3 linked regions of the Cricetulus griseus genome follow. The protein of the gene in region 2 purifies or fractionates together with the protein of the main gene of each other region. This does not show direct contact. Links are inferred from orthologs where the notes say so. Each region holds a gene or a part of one and is shown on either strand. Other genes may lie near its edges.

What was found. Proteins that work in one complex are often made in the same cells at the same time.
Region 1: the proteins of Snrnp70 (region 2) and Mrps14 purify together in Homo sapiens (affinity purification with mass spectrometry; 3 studies listed by BioGRID and IntAct, with this or other methods). This does not show direct contact. The link is inferred for Cricetulus griseus from reciprocal best matches to the Homo sapiens genes SNRNP70 and MRPS14.
Region 3: the proteins of Snrnp70 (region 2) and Srrm2 purify together in Homo sapiens (affinity purification with mass spectrometry; 3 studies listed by BioGRID and IntAct, counting the BioPlex papers as one, with this or other methods). This does not show direct contact. The link is inferred for Cricetulus griseus from reciprocal best matches to the Homo sapiens genes SNRNP70 and SRRM2.

Annotation. Positions count from the first base shown.
Region 1 is NC_048598.1:31,845,527-31,849,553, forward strand, and holds the start of Mrps14 (28S ribosomal protein S14, mitochondrial), read right to left. Parts: upstream 2,801-4,027; coding exon 2,756-2,800; intron 1,046-2,755; coding exon 887-1,045; intron 1-886.
Region 2 is NC_048599.1:154,296,118-154,301,649, forward strand, and holds part of Snrnp70 (U1 small nuclear ribonucleoprotein 70 kDa), read right to left. Parts: intron 4,227-5,532; coding exon 4,164-4,226; intron 3,893-4,163; coding exon 3,838-3,892; intron 1-3,837. UniProt on the Homo sapiens protein: Component of the spliceosomal U1 snRNP, which is essential for recognition of the pre-mRNA 5' splice-site and the subsequent assembly of the spliceosome. SNRNP70 binds to the loop I region of U1-snRNA.
Region 3 is NC_048600.1:43,318,587-43,322,846, reverse strand, and holds the start of Srrm2 (serine/arginine repetitive matrix protein 2), read right to left. Parts: upstream 2,801-4,260; 5' UTR 2,611-2,800; intron 1-2,610. UniProt on the Homo sapiens protein: Required for pre-mRNA splicing as component of the spliceosome. As a component of the minor spliceosome, involved in the splicing of U12-type introns in pre-mRNAs.

The DNA of each region.
Region 1 (4,027 bases), on a different chromosome or scaffold from region 2:
GAGTATGTTAATATATATACTTATACCAATACATTTGTCAGAGGTATTGGCATCTACCACTGACCCTATGATAGACTGTGGAACCAGGAAGCAGAGGCAGGTGGATCTCTTGAGTTCGAGGCCAGCCTGGTCTACAGATCAAGTTCCAGGACAGCCAGAGCTACAAAGAGAACTCCTGTCTCAAAAAACCAAAGGGGTGGGGGTGGGGGGGTGAAGAATACATAAACAGACTAAATCATTCTGCCAATTTGTATAAATGTTTGTTTTGTTTCTTTCTGTGAACTTTCAGTAAAGTAAGTAGCCTTGATTTTCTAATTTCCTACAAGCCTCTTCAGTTCAGTACATGTATTATGCCATCACCTAAGTATAAAACCAAATGCCACAGGAAGCCAAACAGGGTTGACACCCTCTTATTTAACTGGAAGTACATGAGAAGAAAGGAAGGCTAAATGGAAGACTACCTAACCATGGACCTGGAAAGGGCAAAAGTTCAGGACGGCAGGTCTTGAGTAAGGACCACAGGTCATGTGTTTTGTACATAGCCCATGCATCAGCAATACCTCCAAATGCCTTGAAGGTTCCAAGACTGGTATGAAACTGGGGAGACCTTTCATCAAAATACTTCTTACTTTCTATGTGGTCACCACTCAGTAGTACTATGTAGGGATTGTATAATGAAATGGCTGAAAAACCAGGAAGGAGTGAACAGTTGTCCTTTAGCCTAAACTTACCAAAGTTGGTTTTAAGGCTATTTATGTAAACTTGAGTATTTGATCTTATTCTCCAGAAAATTACATTAATACTAAGTTGCAATAAAAAGCATCAAAAAGAATCTGAAATGACATCAGTAAATGATATTGGGAAAGACAGGGACTCAGCAGCTAACCTGAAGGTCTTTTGGCAAAATGGTATTCTTTCTGAGTGAATTGATCCGAAGTCTCTCATCTGCATATTCATAAGCCATTTTTCGTCTCTTCACATCACGCAACATTTTCCAGTCTACATAGTAACCTCGAACTTGACTTGATGTTGATGGAGGGACTGCCTAAAAGACAGAGACAGGATCACAGGCACTGCAAGTGTTTTTCCAATCCTGTAAACTTCTTTCAGTCTCTACTTAGGACTTTTGGCAATAAAAAAAAAAAAGTACATTTATTTGGCACATATACATGCACACAAGTGCTTGTGTATGGATGGACATGTTTGTGAAGGTCAGAGGCCAACCTGTGAGTCCGTACTGTGTGTATGTGAATGGCCATGCATGTGGAGGTCAGAGGACAACTTTCTGTCAGCTCTCTCCTCTACCACGAGTCCTCACATTGAACTAGACAGGCTTGGTGGTAAGCATTTTACCCACTGAGCCATCTCACCAGCCCAAGACTTAGTATTTTAAAAAACTGATTTATTACATTTATTTATTTGCTTGTGCATGTACATACTATAACCCAAGTGGAAATCAGAGGACAATTTGCAGGAGTTCCTCTTCCTTAAATCACTGTCCCCTGCTCCCAATCCCTAATGTTCCGGTGACTTTAATGTTCCTTAGTTATTAAATCAGAAGCAATGTGAGGAGAATTTCCAAACTTCCATACCTATTCACTCAAATGTAGCTTTTGTACTACAGTCTGTAACCCCTCCAGGGTTATGTCAACTTTCTGTTACAGTGGCCGCTAGACATGGATATGGCTGTGAGCAGTACAACTGGGGACATAATTCTTGATACTAAGTCACTTAAATTTTCAAATAGCAAGCAACTTTGTTTTTGGCACAATTGCGTTTTTCCACTATATCATTTGCAAAATTTAGCATCCCAACAGCAGTATGTTTTAGGTATAAAACACAAGTAAGATTTTGAAAACCTACTTCCAACAGAGGAATGTAAATGTCTCACAAATCACTATATATAATCTTGACTTGTTAAAATATGGATATACCTGGCTAAAAATATCTATCAAAATTAACTTGTACCTACTTTCTTACTTCAGTTTAAATACTAGAAAAAATACCAATCACCCTTGTTTGGCTTTACATTTCTATTGGACAAAAGTGCTAGACGTGACCTGTACATGATCCTGAGATCAAACTTCATACACGAGACCCTATGTCACCTCCTGCTTGCAAAGGCAGAGCTCTGGCGATCCTTCCCTGTTCTCTGGATCATCATTTCCCACTTTAGTGGGTCCCCCCCCCCAGACGTTGTTGTTTATATCTGATAACGATATCTTACGAATATGATGTTCCTTCTGTCGTGGTAAAGGAAAAAGAACTAAGTAAGGTCTCTCTCTCTGTCTCTGGCTGACACCGCCCTCCCCACCACCCCTTGCAGAACTCTCCCGAACACTTCTCCAATTTCCTTTGCTGTTTTTCCCAGTTTCTGTGCGCATCGTAACACTGTCACTCCTCAAATCTTTCATTAACCTTCCAGTTTTAGCGGAATGGCCTGCTCCCTGTTCGAAATTCTGTCACCACCCGTGAGGCCTCAATCCTCCGGTCCCTTTTCTGTTCTATTTACACGCACGCAGCTCCTGAAAGCCGGGATCAACCTCTCAGCTTTCAAATCAGGGCTCCACGCTTAAACACCAAACCCTCCTTTGCCGGTTAGGCCTCTCCGAACCAAGCCGGAAGGGGAAAGCGGATGGTAGGAGGCCTGGGATTGGTCCTCCGTGTGCATGACAGTCCCCAGGGTACCGGGCAACCCACAGGACACGGGGTTCAGGGGTGAGAAGTGGGCTGGCGAGAAAGGCAAGGGCCTGACCTGCCGGAAAGTCCGCAGCAGCGAGCCCAACAAGGACGCCGCCATGTCGTCCGCCCCACCAGCCAACCGCTGCTGCGTTACAGCGCCGGAAAAGGTAGGTTGTGGGGCGGGGCCTGTGGCTAAAAGGGCGGGCCCGGGGCAGGATTTAGCCTATAAGGAGGCAGGGGCTAGGTACGGGATTTGCGCTCTCACGGTTTTTCACGGGACCCGGGAGAACCATCCAGTCGGCCCGCCCGCTCCGGAAGAGGTGGTGCAGTGAGCACGCGCGCTGCTCTCTTTCCCGGGGCCGGGTTGTTGCCCCGCCCAACCTGCTCTCGCAGTCTCTGTTGGCGGAAGCTTGCCGGCGTCTGTCACTCGTCCTGCGGAACTGGCACGTGCCGCGTTCCTGCCGTAATGGTGACGGATGTGATGATGGCAGTGGCGCAGAGTTTCTATTTGCGTGTCTAGGGTTTTAATAATACACATTGTATCTGTGTATTTGTTCCTCTCTCCTCTCTCCTCTCTCTCTCTATTGTGTGCCATTGAAAACTTCTGTTTTCATATAGTACAGGGTACTTTGCTGAAAGTACTTTGCTCCTAGCCTGATTTGGTGAGGAACCGCCCATTGGGCTATTTACATAGGGACACCCCAGTACAAAAGAGAACTTTTTCTTTAGTGATTCCAATTTATTGAACAATTCTCTTTAAAAAAAATAATTTATTTAACTTTATTTTATGTGCACAAAAGTATCGGATCTCCTGGAATTGGAGTTACAGACAGCTGTGAGCTACCATGTGGGTGCTGGGAATTGAACCCAGGGCCTCTGGAAGAAGAGCCAGTGCTCTCAACCACTGAGCCATCTCTCCACCCCTTATTGAACATTTCTTTTTTTTTTAAGACTTTATTTATTTATTATGTATACAACATTCTGCTTCCATGTATATCTGCACACCAGAAGAGGGCACCAGATCTTATAACGGATGGTTGCGAGCCACCATGTGGTTGCTGGGAATTGAACTCAGGACCTCTGAAAGAGCAGTCAGTGCTCTTAACCTCTGAGCCATCTCTCCAGCCCCCCCCCCTTTGTTTTTCTTATTGAACATTTCTAACGGATTAGAGAGAGTCAGACTGAAACTATCTGACAAGAGTAGACAGCGGGATCAAAAAACTCCTACACCAGCCTCAGCAGGCAGACATCGGTCTCAAACCCTTGTTCACACCCTTCCGGAACTCCCTACAATTGTGCGAAGTCTATAGTCCTCTCTAGACATGGCTACACTGCAAACCCTTAT
Region 2 (5,532 bases):
GTAACTGAGTCTATGGAACCCCTCTGGAGGGATGACTCAAGCTATCTTGTTCCCTAACAGTACTGCCACTCATTAAGATTGCAGCCACAGCCAGGGGGAAGCCTGATACCAAGCAGTCTCAGATCTAAGACAGGAGTCCAGGATAAACTGGGTGTGATGACCCATGAATTAATCCCGGCACAGAGGCAGGCAGAACTCAGCCTAGTCTACATAATGAGTTTTAGGTCAGCCAAGCTACATAGTGAGACTCTCTCTCAAAAAGAAAGACAGTCCGAATAGTCCCCCCGCCCCATATCCTACGGCCTTTGGTAGGGACTCCAAGCTAGTGCTGAAGGAAATGACCAGGACAAAGTGGCATGGAGAACTACCTCCCATGTAGTCACCAAGGGATTAAGTCTTCAGAACCTAGTAACCACTGGCAGCGGTGGTACATGCCTTTAATCCCAGCATTCAGGAGGCAGAGGCAGGTGGATCTCTGAGTTTGAGGCCAGCCTGGTCTACAAAGGGAGTTCCAGAACAGCCAGAGCTGTTACACAAAGAAACCTTGTCTCAAAAACAAACAAACAAACAAACAAAAAACTAAGACATGGCTCAGAGGTTAAGAGCACTGGCTGCTCTTCTAGAGGTCCCGAGTTCAAGTCCAGCAACCACATGGTGGCTCATAATCGTCTGTAATGAGATCTGATGCCCTCTTCTGGCATGCAAGCATACATGCAGACAGAACACTGTATATATAAGTAAATCTTAAAAAAAGGGGGGGGAGGGGGTCCTTCTGTTTTTCACTGGTGGCCTATAAGCATGTTTTAAAAGTCCAGAGAGACTGTCCTTACTACAGATTGTTTTAGCATATTTTTGACAGGACACAGGCAAGTCTCTTCAGTTATCAGTTGTGACCTTCCCACCAACATCAAAACTAAACCCAAACAATCAGCCACAGTGGTGGTCCTTTTGATCAAAAGGGCATGGCTGTTAATATGGTGACAGAAGAGGACTCAAGACATTAAGACTGTCACAAGGCCTGGTGACACATGCCTTTAGTCCCAGTACTGGGCAGGCAGATGGATCTCTGTGAGTTCAAGGCTGGCCTGGTTTACAAAGCAAGTTCCAGAACAGTCAGGGCTAACCCTGTCTCAAAAGAAAAAAACCTAAAAGCTACCTAAATAAAAAGGAGGCATGGGTATATGGATCAGAATAATAAAGTTAGGAGAGTACATGCACAAAGGCTTGGGTTCAGTGGAGAACAGCACCCCATAAACTGGCTGCTGAGACATGTCCAAAGGTGTCAAGGTAAAAATGCACACATACACCCCAAACACTAGGTGTAGAGTGCAATGGGTATGTATGTGTCCAGTGCTGCCTACAGGGTGGATGCCAGTCAATGAGAACTGAGCTTGCCTGAAAGGCAGTAGGAAGCACACAAAAGAGGGAAACATCTCTATTTGAGATGCCTAGAGTTCTTGCTTACCATGGGGCTGATGAAGTACTCCTATCTGAAAGAATACATTACCAGGAAGACAGCAAGTAATAGGCAGTGCCTATTACTAAGTGTTCGTGTGTGGCATGCTTGCCTCTGTACTCAGCTGCACCCCTTTGCTCTCACTGGTCAGAACCCCAAGAAGAAACTAGCCCACAAGAAGTCTCAAAGCTACAAAAGTTCACTAGGCTGACCAGAAACCTAACTGCCCTTCTGTATAAGATACAGGCCTAACTTGATTGATTTCTACATTCCCCCACCCCAGTTTGAGAGCTTCAGTCACATCCAAGAGCCTGCTATGCTGGTTCTTAACACTTTTTAAACATACCTACTGACTTGCCCCAACTTTTCCTTATCAAGTTGTTTATATGTTTTTTTGTTTGTTTTAAGGAAATGAGGTCAGTCTGTTCTATACAATCTTTCACATTCTCCACGGGGTGCAAAGCATACCTGGATAGGCAAGGAAGAGACTGGGCTTTTATGCTGAGGTCAGGAGGCGGAGATAAGCGCTTGTCCTAACAAAGCCCCATAAAGGATTTTGGCTAGGGAAGGTCAAGTAAACAAGACACACTGCTACAGCACTGCCCAAGCCAAAAGGGATCGGTGCTACTGGAGGACAGGAATGTCTAATGTTGTGACATTTAGCAAGTAGCAGGACAGGTCTTGGTGATAAGCTGGGAAAGTTATATTGATGCTGTGGCTAATCTAGTTGTAAACTTTAACACATCTGAAATCAACTAAAACCCATGCCTGTGGGGATTTCTGGATTGAATTATTTAAGGTAAGAAGATCCAACTTAAATCAGGGCCACACCTTCTGTTGGCAGCCAACATAAAACCATGAATGAATGAAGTTTTTGCCTACCTATCTTCACTCTCCTGCCAAGTTCATCCATCCTGCTGTTGAGCCATTCTTTCACTGGTATTAGAACCTACTTATTCAGAATTCCAACATGGAATAAAGCTGAGATATCCAACTTTGTGGACCGAACACTAACAGACTCTTAGCCTTTCTGTTGAGAGACAGCCACTCTAATCTGTGTGTGTGTGTGTGTGTGTTGCGTGTCCGGCATGGACACAGATATATATAAAACATAAATGGAGGTCGACCAGTTGTCTTGTTTTAAAATAATGTATAGAGGTTTACCAGTTGTCTCTGTGGATTTTTTTTTTTTAATGGAGGTAGACCAGTTGGCCTTTTGAACTTGATTGACTGATTGATTGATTGAATTTTCCCCATTCTCAATTCTGTTCCTTTAGAGAATCATAACACAGGTATAAAAAACAGAGTATCAACATCTGGAAAGCCATGTCTCAGGGAAGGTTGAATCCCTTAGGAACTGGGAGGAGAGGAAGGTGATTGTGTGGCTTCAACATGTAGTATGCGCATGAAAGAACATCTAGCCAGGTATGGTGTAAGAACCAGAGCTCCATGCCCCATCTGTTAGTCATGTATACTAAATACACTTGAGAAAACCCAGAAGTTCTAGCATATGGTTTAGAAAGAAACGATTCACTAAGGCTGCAGACAATAGATGGAGATAGATAATGATGAGTCTTTACATACAGAACACTGAGATCTCATCCTTTTGAGTCTGGTTACCAAGCACTACTTAAATTCTCCACACCTGGATGGTAAAGCATCTCCACTTCCAGGATCAGGAAGCCAGGGATAAAGACAGGACCAACTGACCAGATCACCTCATGCCTTATCCTGGAGACACAATGGGATGTGGTCCTTTTATAGATAGGGCAAGTGACTGGGGTAATCCTACCTGTTAAAAGCCTACACCAACTGGAGCTGGAGAGATGGCTCAGCGATTAAGAGCACAGATTGCTCTTCCAGGAGTTGGTGTTTCATTCCCAGCACCCACATAGCAGCTCATAACTATCCAACTCCAGTTCCAGGGAATCCTATGCCCTCTTCTGATCTCCCACATACAGATAGGCAATACACTCATACATGTTTTTTAAAAACTAATAAGGCATACAAGAACTTTTAAAACAGAGAGCCTAATCCAAGAGCTATGCTTGGCAAGTGGTTGCTAGGAAAGTGAACTAACTCTGCTTTCTCAGGCACCCAGGAGAATAGTGGCTCAGGTATGACCTGGTAAGAGCAGCAAAATGAAGCCAGGCGTTGGTGGCGCATGCCCTTAGTCCCAGCACTCAGGAGGCAAAGGCAGGCGGATCTCTGTGAGTTCAAGACCAGCCTGGTCTACAAGAGCTAGTTCCAGGACAGCCTCCAAAGCCACAGAGAAACCCTGTCTTGAAAAAACAAAAAACAAAAAACAAACAAACAAACAAAAACAAGAGGAACAAAATGAGACTGGAGGGGAAGATTGATAGGAGGGAGGAGAACCTTACACATTTTCAGCTCTGTCTCCACTTCCTGCTGTCGCCGTTCAATCTTTTCCCGTCTCTGCCAATAGAAAGAAAATGTAGAGTTAAGTGCAAGCAGGGGTACCTGGACTACAGGGATCTCTGGAAAAAAGTAGGTAAAAATATAGCAAGACTAAGAAGTGCCTGGCGGCAGCGGCGAACCTTTAATGCCAGCACATGGGAGGCAGAGGCAGGCGGAATTCTGTGAGTTCAAGGCCAGCATGGTCTACACAATGAGCTCCAGGACAGCCAGGGCTACACAGAAAGACCCTGTTCTGAAAAAACAAAAGACTCACGTAAAAACAACATACCTTTCTCTCCATGCGTTCTTCCCGGGTTTCTGCCCTTGTTGGAGGAGGGGCATCTCGAGGGTCCTAGGAACAAGAGAGGTGATGGAAAATAGCATGGCATACCAGCAACGAAAAGACTCTCAGTTCCCCCCCATACACAAGTGCCATTAGTTCCAGTATAAACAGAAGACAGAGGGTGGAAGTGGTCCAATGAGGACCAGTGCTGCCCAGACTACTGGAGGTCTGTGGCAAGGACAATACAAACATCTCTACCAGGTGTTGGTTGTGCACCTCTTTAATCCCAGGACTCAGGAGGCAGAGGCAGGCAGATCTATGAGTTCAAAGCCAGCCTCGTCTACAGAGCAAGCTCCAGGACAGCCCAAGTAACTTTACTAGAATAATTAAACGGAAAGAAAAAAATATCATTTTTGAAGGTACTTTTAAACAAAACACAGAAACAATTCCCTTGTATTTAGCAAAAGCATCAATCACCAGGGATGGTGGTAGTCCACGCCTTTTATCTCAGCACTCAGGAGGCAGAGGCAGGTGGATCTCTGAGATCCAGGCCAGCCTGGTCTACACAGTGAGTTCCAGGACAGCTAAGGATACACAGAAAAAAAACCTGTCTCAAAACAAAACAAAAAAGCACCTACAATGACTGGTAGACATTTGTTCTTCATCAGAGTGTAACATAAGTTACATAGCTGTAAAGTACAGTTCCAAAGCTACCTGGCAAGAAGAAGAAGAAAAAAAGCAGGGTGGTAGGGGTGCACACCTCTAATCCCAGCACTCAAGAAACTGAGGCAGTGTAGCTGGGCAGTGGTGGCACACACCTTTAGTCCCAACACTCGGGAGGCAGAGGCAGGCGGGTATCTGAGTTCTGAGGCCAGCCTGGTCTACAAGAGCTAGTTCCAGGACAGGCTCCAAAGTCACAGAGAAACCCTGTCTCAAAAACCAAAACCAAAACCAAAACAAAACAAAAAGCTACATGGCTCCCAAAGGAATTCTGCAACTCCCCACAGTTCCAAACAGAAACCCCAAAGAGTGGAGACACAAGACTTTAATCCCAGTACTTGAGTACTTGAGAGCACAAAGCCAAGTAGATGTATCTCTGCAAGCTTTAAAAAAAAAAAAAAGACAAAATGGGGCTGAAGAGATGGCTCAGCAGTTAAGAGCACCAGCTGTTCTTCCAGAGGACCTGAGTTCAATTCCCAGCACCCACATGGCAGCTCACACCTGTCTGTAACTCCAGTTCCAGGGGCTTTATGGCACCAAGGAAGCAGCATGCATATGATAAATAAGTTTTTAAAATAAATAAGTTTTTAAAAAATTCTTTTGATAGGTATTGTTTATTACATTTCTTTCTTTTTACTTAATTTTTCCGTTTATC
Region 3 (4,260 bases), on a different chromosome or scaffold from region 2:
TATTTTTTCCACTCCAACACATTTTCTCCAAGACAGATTTTCAGAACATTAAAGACAAGCAAGCACACAACAGGGAAAAGTGAAGGTTAGTAAAAGCAGATGGAAGAGATGGAGTTGGATAAAAGATTACACTCACAGAATTCCAGAACCAGTATTATATCAATTCCTCAACAAAACACCAAAGTGTGAAGAAGAAAAAAAAAAAAAAAGACAAATGTCAAATGTAAAGAAAATACCCAAATGTACTTCTGTCCCTTCCCACCCTCAATCAAGCCTATCCTAAGACCTACTCAATACAAGTAAGAAGTCTATCAGGGTCGAGAATGAATAACAGATAAGACTAAATCTATGAAAAACAAGTGTAAATTCAGGAAGCCACAGAAAAACCTTTTTTTAGAGCCAAGAAATGTTTCTGTAGTACCTTCCAACAATCTTTTTTTTTTTTTTTTTTGGTTTTTCGAGACAAGGTTTCTCTGTGAACTTGGGAGCCTATCCTGGCACTCGGAGACCAGGCTGGCCTCGAACTCACAGAGATCCGCCTGCCTCCACCTCCCAAGTGCTGGGATTAAAGGCAAGCGCCACCAAGCCAGGCCCAACAATCATTCTTAAAAGTCTAAAAATACCAATCCTTTCTTCCTCTAAATCTAAGGCCTATATTGCTTCATTTGTGTCCTCTGTGAAAGGCTTTTTTCTTTTTCTTTAAAGATTTATTTCATTAAGATGTATTTCATTTATTATATATACAGTGTTCTGCCTGAATGTTTGACTGAACACCAGAAGAGGGCATCTGATCTCATTATAGCTGGTTTTGAGGGACTATGTGGTTGCTGGAGATTGAACTCAGGAGCTCTGGAAGAGCAGCTCTCTCTCCAGCCCATGCAAAAGGCTTCTTACAATCTTCCAATTTACACACACTTCCACCATTTCACACAAAAATCCGCCCACTCCATACCTGAAGAAGGCTAAGTAAAATGTATTAAAAATCATGATTTTGGTGACCTTTCAGGAAAGAGGTGTGTGTGTGTGAGAGAGAGAGAGAGAGGGAGAGAGAGAGAGGGAGGGAGGGAGAGAGAGAGAGGGAGAGAGAGAGAGGAAAAGAGGGGGAGAAAGAGAGAGGGAGGGAGGGAGGGAGAGGGAGACAGACAAGAGAGAGAGACACCACCCTGGATCCAAAGTAGTGCTCAAGACACTAAAAGGGAATTACCAAAACCAGGCAGCACTTAAAACAGGAGCACAAAGTATGCAAGCCTTCCAAAGTTAAGAACAGAAAGAAACCAAGTTGCCAAGGGAAAATAATGATCAGAATGACAAACTACAAGAGGCAGAAATTTAGAACTAAGACATTCAAGATAAAAAAAAAAAAAAAAGGTGGGAGGGGCACCTGAGAGAACAGCAATGGGCCCAGGAAAAGGACAGAGTAAAATACTGAGAACTCAGGGCTGAGACACTATTAACTATGTAAACACATGTGTAACATACGCAGCTCCAATATTAACCCAGGAAGAGACCTTACCTAAGCCCATCCAAAGGAGAAAAAACAAGACTCCTTTTGAATCTTTGAAACAGCTTAAAAGAACTGCAAAATGGAAACAGCATAGGAAGAAATTCATGCCAAGTAATGGCTGACACAAGCCAGGCTGTTTAAGCCCAGAATTGCCTTCCCATTGAAAAGCTGCAAAAGCCACCCTAGCTGTATCATTTGAGAAGACATGTTTAAAAAGCAGGGTAGGAGGCGGACACGGTGGCGCATGCCTTTAATCCCAGCACTCGGTAAAGAGGCAGGCAGATCTCTGAAGTTCCAGGCTAGACAGGCTATCTCATAAAACCAGAAGGTAAAAAAAATAAATAAATAGCCAGGTAGTAGGCAGGAGCACATGATCTTCCTTATACACGCGGACTGAACACGTTCGTTTTTTTTTTTTTTTTTTACTTTTAAGATTTGGGGATACCCGACCCCGCCACCTCACACACACTCATAACCTCAGCGCTCTAAGGACAAGTCCGGGCCTCCCGATGTTCAAGGCCTCCCAGCGCTCGCTCACTGGCCGCCGGGCCTATTTTCGGCCTTGAGAATGGGGGAGGGGGCCGCGCGGCGCCCGCCCGCCCCGCAGTCTGAGGCCCGGCCGTTTCTCAGGCCCCCAGCAGGGGCAGGAGGGCCCACGCCCGGGTCATCGGGGTGGGATACCCGCAGGTCGGAAGCCCGGGCGGGGCACAGGACCCCCCGGCTGCCGCCCCCTCCCCGCGACTCAAGACGGAAAAGGGCGAGCGCGGAACGAGGGTCTCTTCAGACCCAGGTAGAGCAAAGACGGCGGCAACCAGAGAGGCCCGCGCGCCGCTATCTCCTCGGGGACGCGCGGACGGGAGACCAGGCGGCGGCGGCGGCGGCGCTGCGCGCGCCGTTGCCATGTGGGGGAGGGGCGAGCGAGTGGAGGGCCGCGCGCCACCGGAACCGCGGGAGGGGAAGGGAGAAGGGTAGGAGAAGGCGTCCGCGCGAGCCGGGGCGCCGAGCACGCGTGCGCGAGGCGGCCTGGGCCGTTCTCCGAGCGCCCTGGCCTCGAGCCGAGACCGCCGCCCCTCCCCCACCCAGCTAGCGCGCTCCCTTTCTCTCACCCGCCGCCGCCTTCGGCCGCCGCCTCCGAAGGGGAGAGGTCCTGCCGCGGCCGCTGCTAAGGTCTTCGGATCCCTCGGGGCCTGAAGCCGCCGCCGCCGCCTCGCGGGTCCGCCCGCCTCAGCCGCCTCCGCCGCCGCCGCCTCGTCCGCTTCCTCAGGGGCCGCAGCGGGCTTCGACTGCGCCACTCGCACCCCGCCTGGACCGCGGTGCACGTCAGCACGACCGAGTGCGTCAGCACGCAACCACGAGAGGCGCTGGGCCCTCTGGGAGCCGTAGTGCGTTGTGCGCAGGCGTTGAAGGCACACGATGGCGATATAGGTTCTTTTTTTTTTTTTTTTTTTTTTAGGCGCAAGGGACGTTCGGTAGCGAAGTCGAAAAACCCCGAGTCCCGTCGGGCACTGCGGGGGAAAAGCGGGGAAAGGCGAGGCACCGTACCGAAGAGGCAACGTCTGCTGGAAATCTTCTGCGGGAAGGGGGAGGGGCACGGGGTTCTCTACCCGCAACGTCGAAGAATGCCTCCCGCCCCCCGCGCAGAGAGTTCTGGGAATTGTAGTTCAGCTGTAGAGAGCGCGTCGCAGAGCACCTTCTCCCGGCAGTGTCGCCATTTTGTCTGCCTGTGTTGTGTGGCAATGGCTCAGCAACTCTACCTCTTCCCTGTGACTGCGGGTTTCTTCAGCAATTCTGAGGGCACACAGCACCGGGTCTCCCGCTCTCAGGAGGAGTTGCTCCAAAGTCAAGTCTCCTAGCACCCCTGGAACCACGTAAACCGACTCTGGTCCAGGTTCTGAAGCAAAAGCCAAACTAGTCTCTTGCGGTGTCCTTAGTCTTCACCATCTTAGACGGAGCTGAAATGGGGCGGGCAGGCCAATGAGAAACCGTTTCTCTTGCTTGGCGGTGGTGGAGCACACTTCTAATCCTAGCGCTCGGGAGGCAGAGGCAGACCACCTTCAGGACAGCCAGGGCTACACAAAGAATAGGGTTGTCTCCAAAAGAAAGTTCCCTTACCTTTGGGTAGAGAGACTAGATATTCCTCCTGTAGAATCTGTGCTGTGTGTGAAGGAATGTGCCAAGAATAACTTTAAAATGTTATCTCTTCTGTACCATTCCCTGTGCCTTGTAGTGCGGTACTGGGAATTGATCCCAGAGCCTTCAAATGTGCCAGCAAGGGCTCTACCACTGAGCTGTACTCCAGGCCTATTACCTATTTAATTTATGTATTAACGATTTTGTGGGCCGGGCGGTGGTGGCGCACGCCTTTAATCCCAGCACTCGGGAGGCAGAGGCAGGTGGATCTCTGTGAGTTGAAGACCAGCCTGGTCTACAAGAGCTAGTTCCAGGACAGCCTCCAAAGCCACAGAGAAACCCTGTCTCAAAAACAACGTTATGTGTATCCATGTTTGTCTGTTCAGGGTATGTGCAGTTCCTGTGGGGGTCAGAGGCATTGAGGGCTTGTGAACCAGCTGAGGTAGGTGCTGGAACCGAACTTTGTTCCTCTGCATGAACACTACAAAGTCTTACTGAGCCATCTAGATATCCAGCCTACCCCCATTCATTTCTTTTGGTTTTTCGAGACAGGGTTTCTCTGTGTAGCTTTGGAGCCTATCCTGGCACTCACTTTGTAGACCAGGCTGGCCTTGAACTCACAAAGA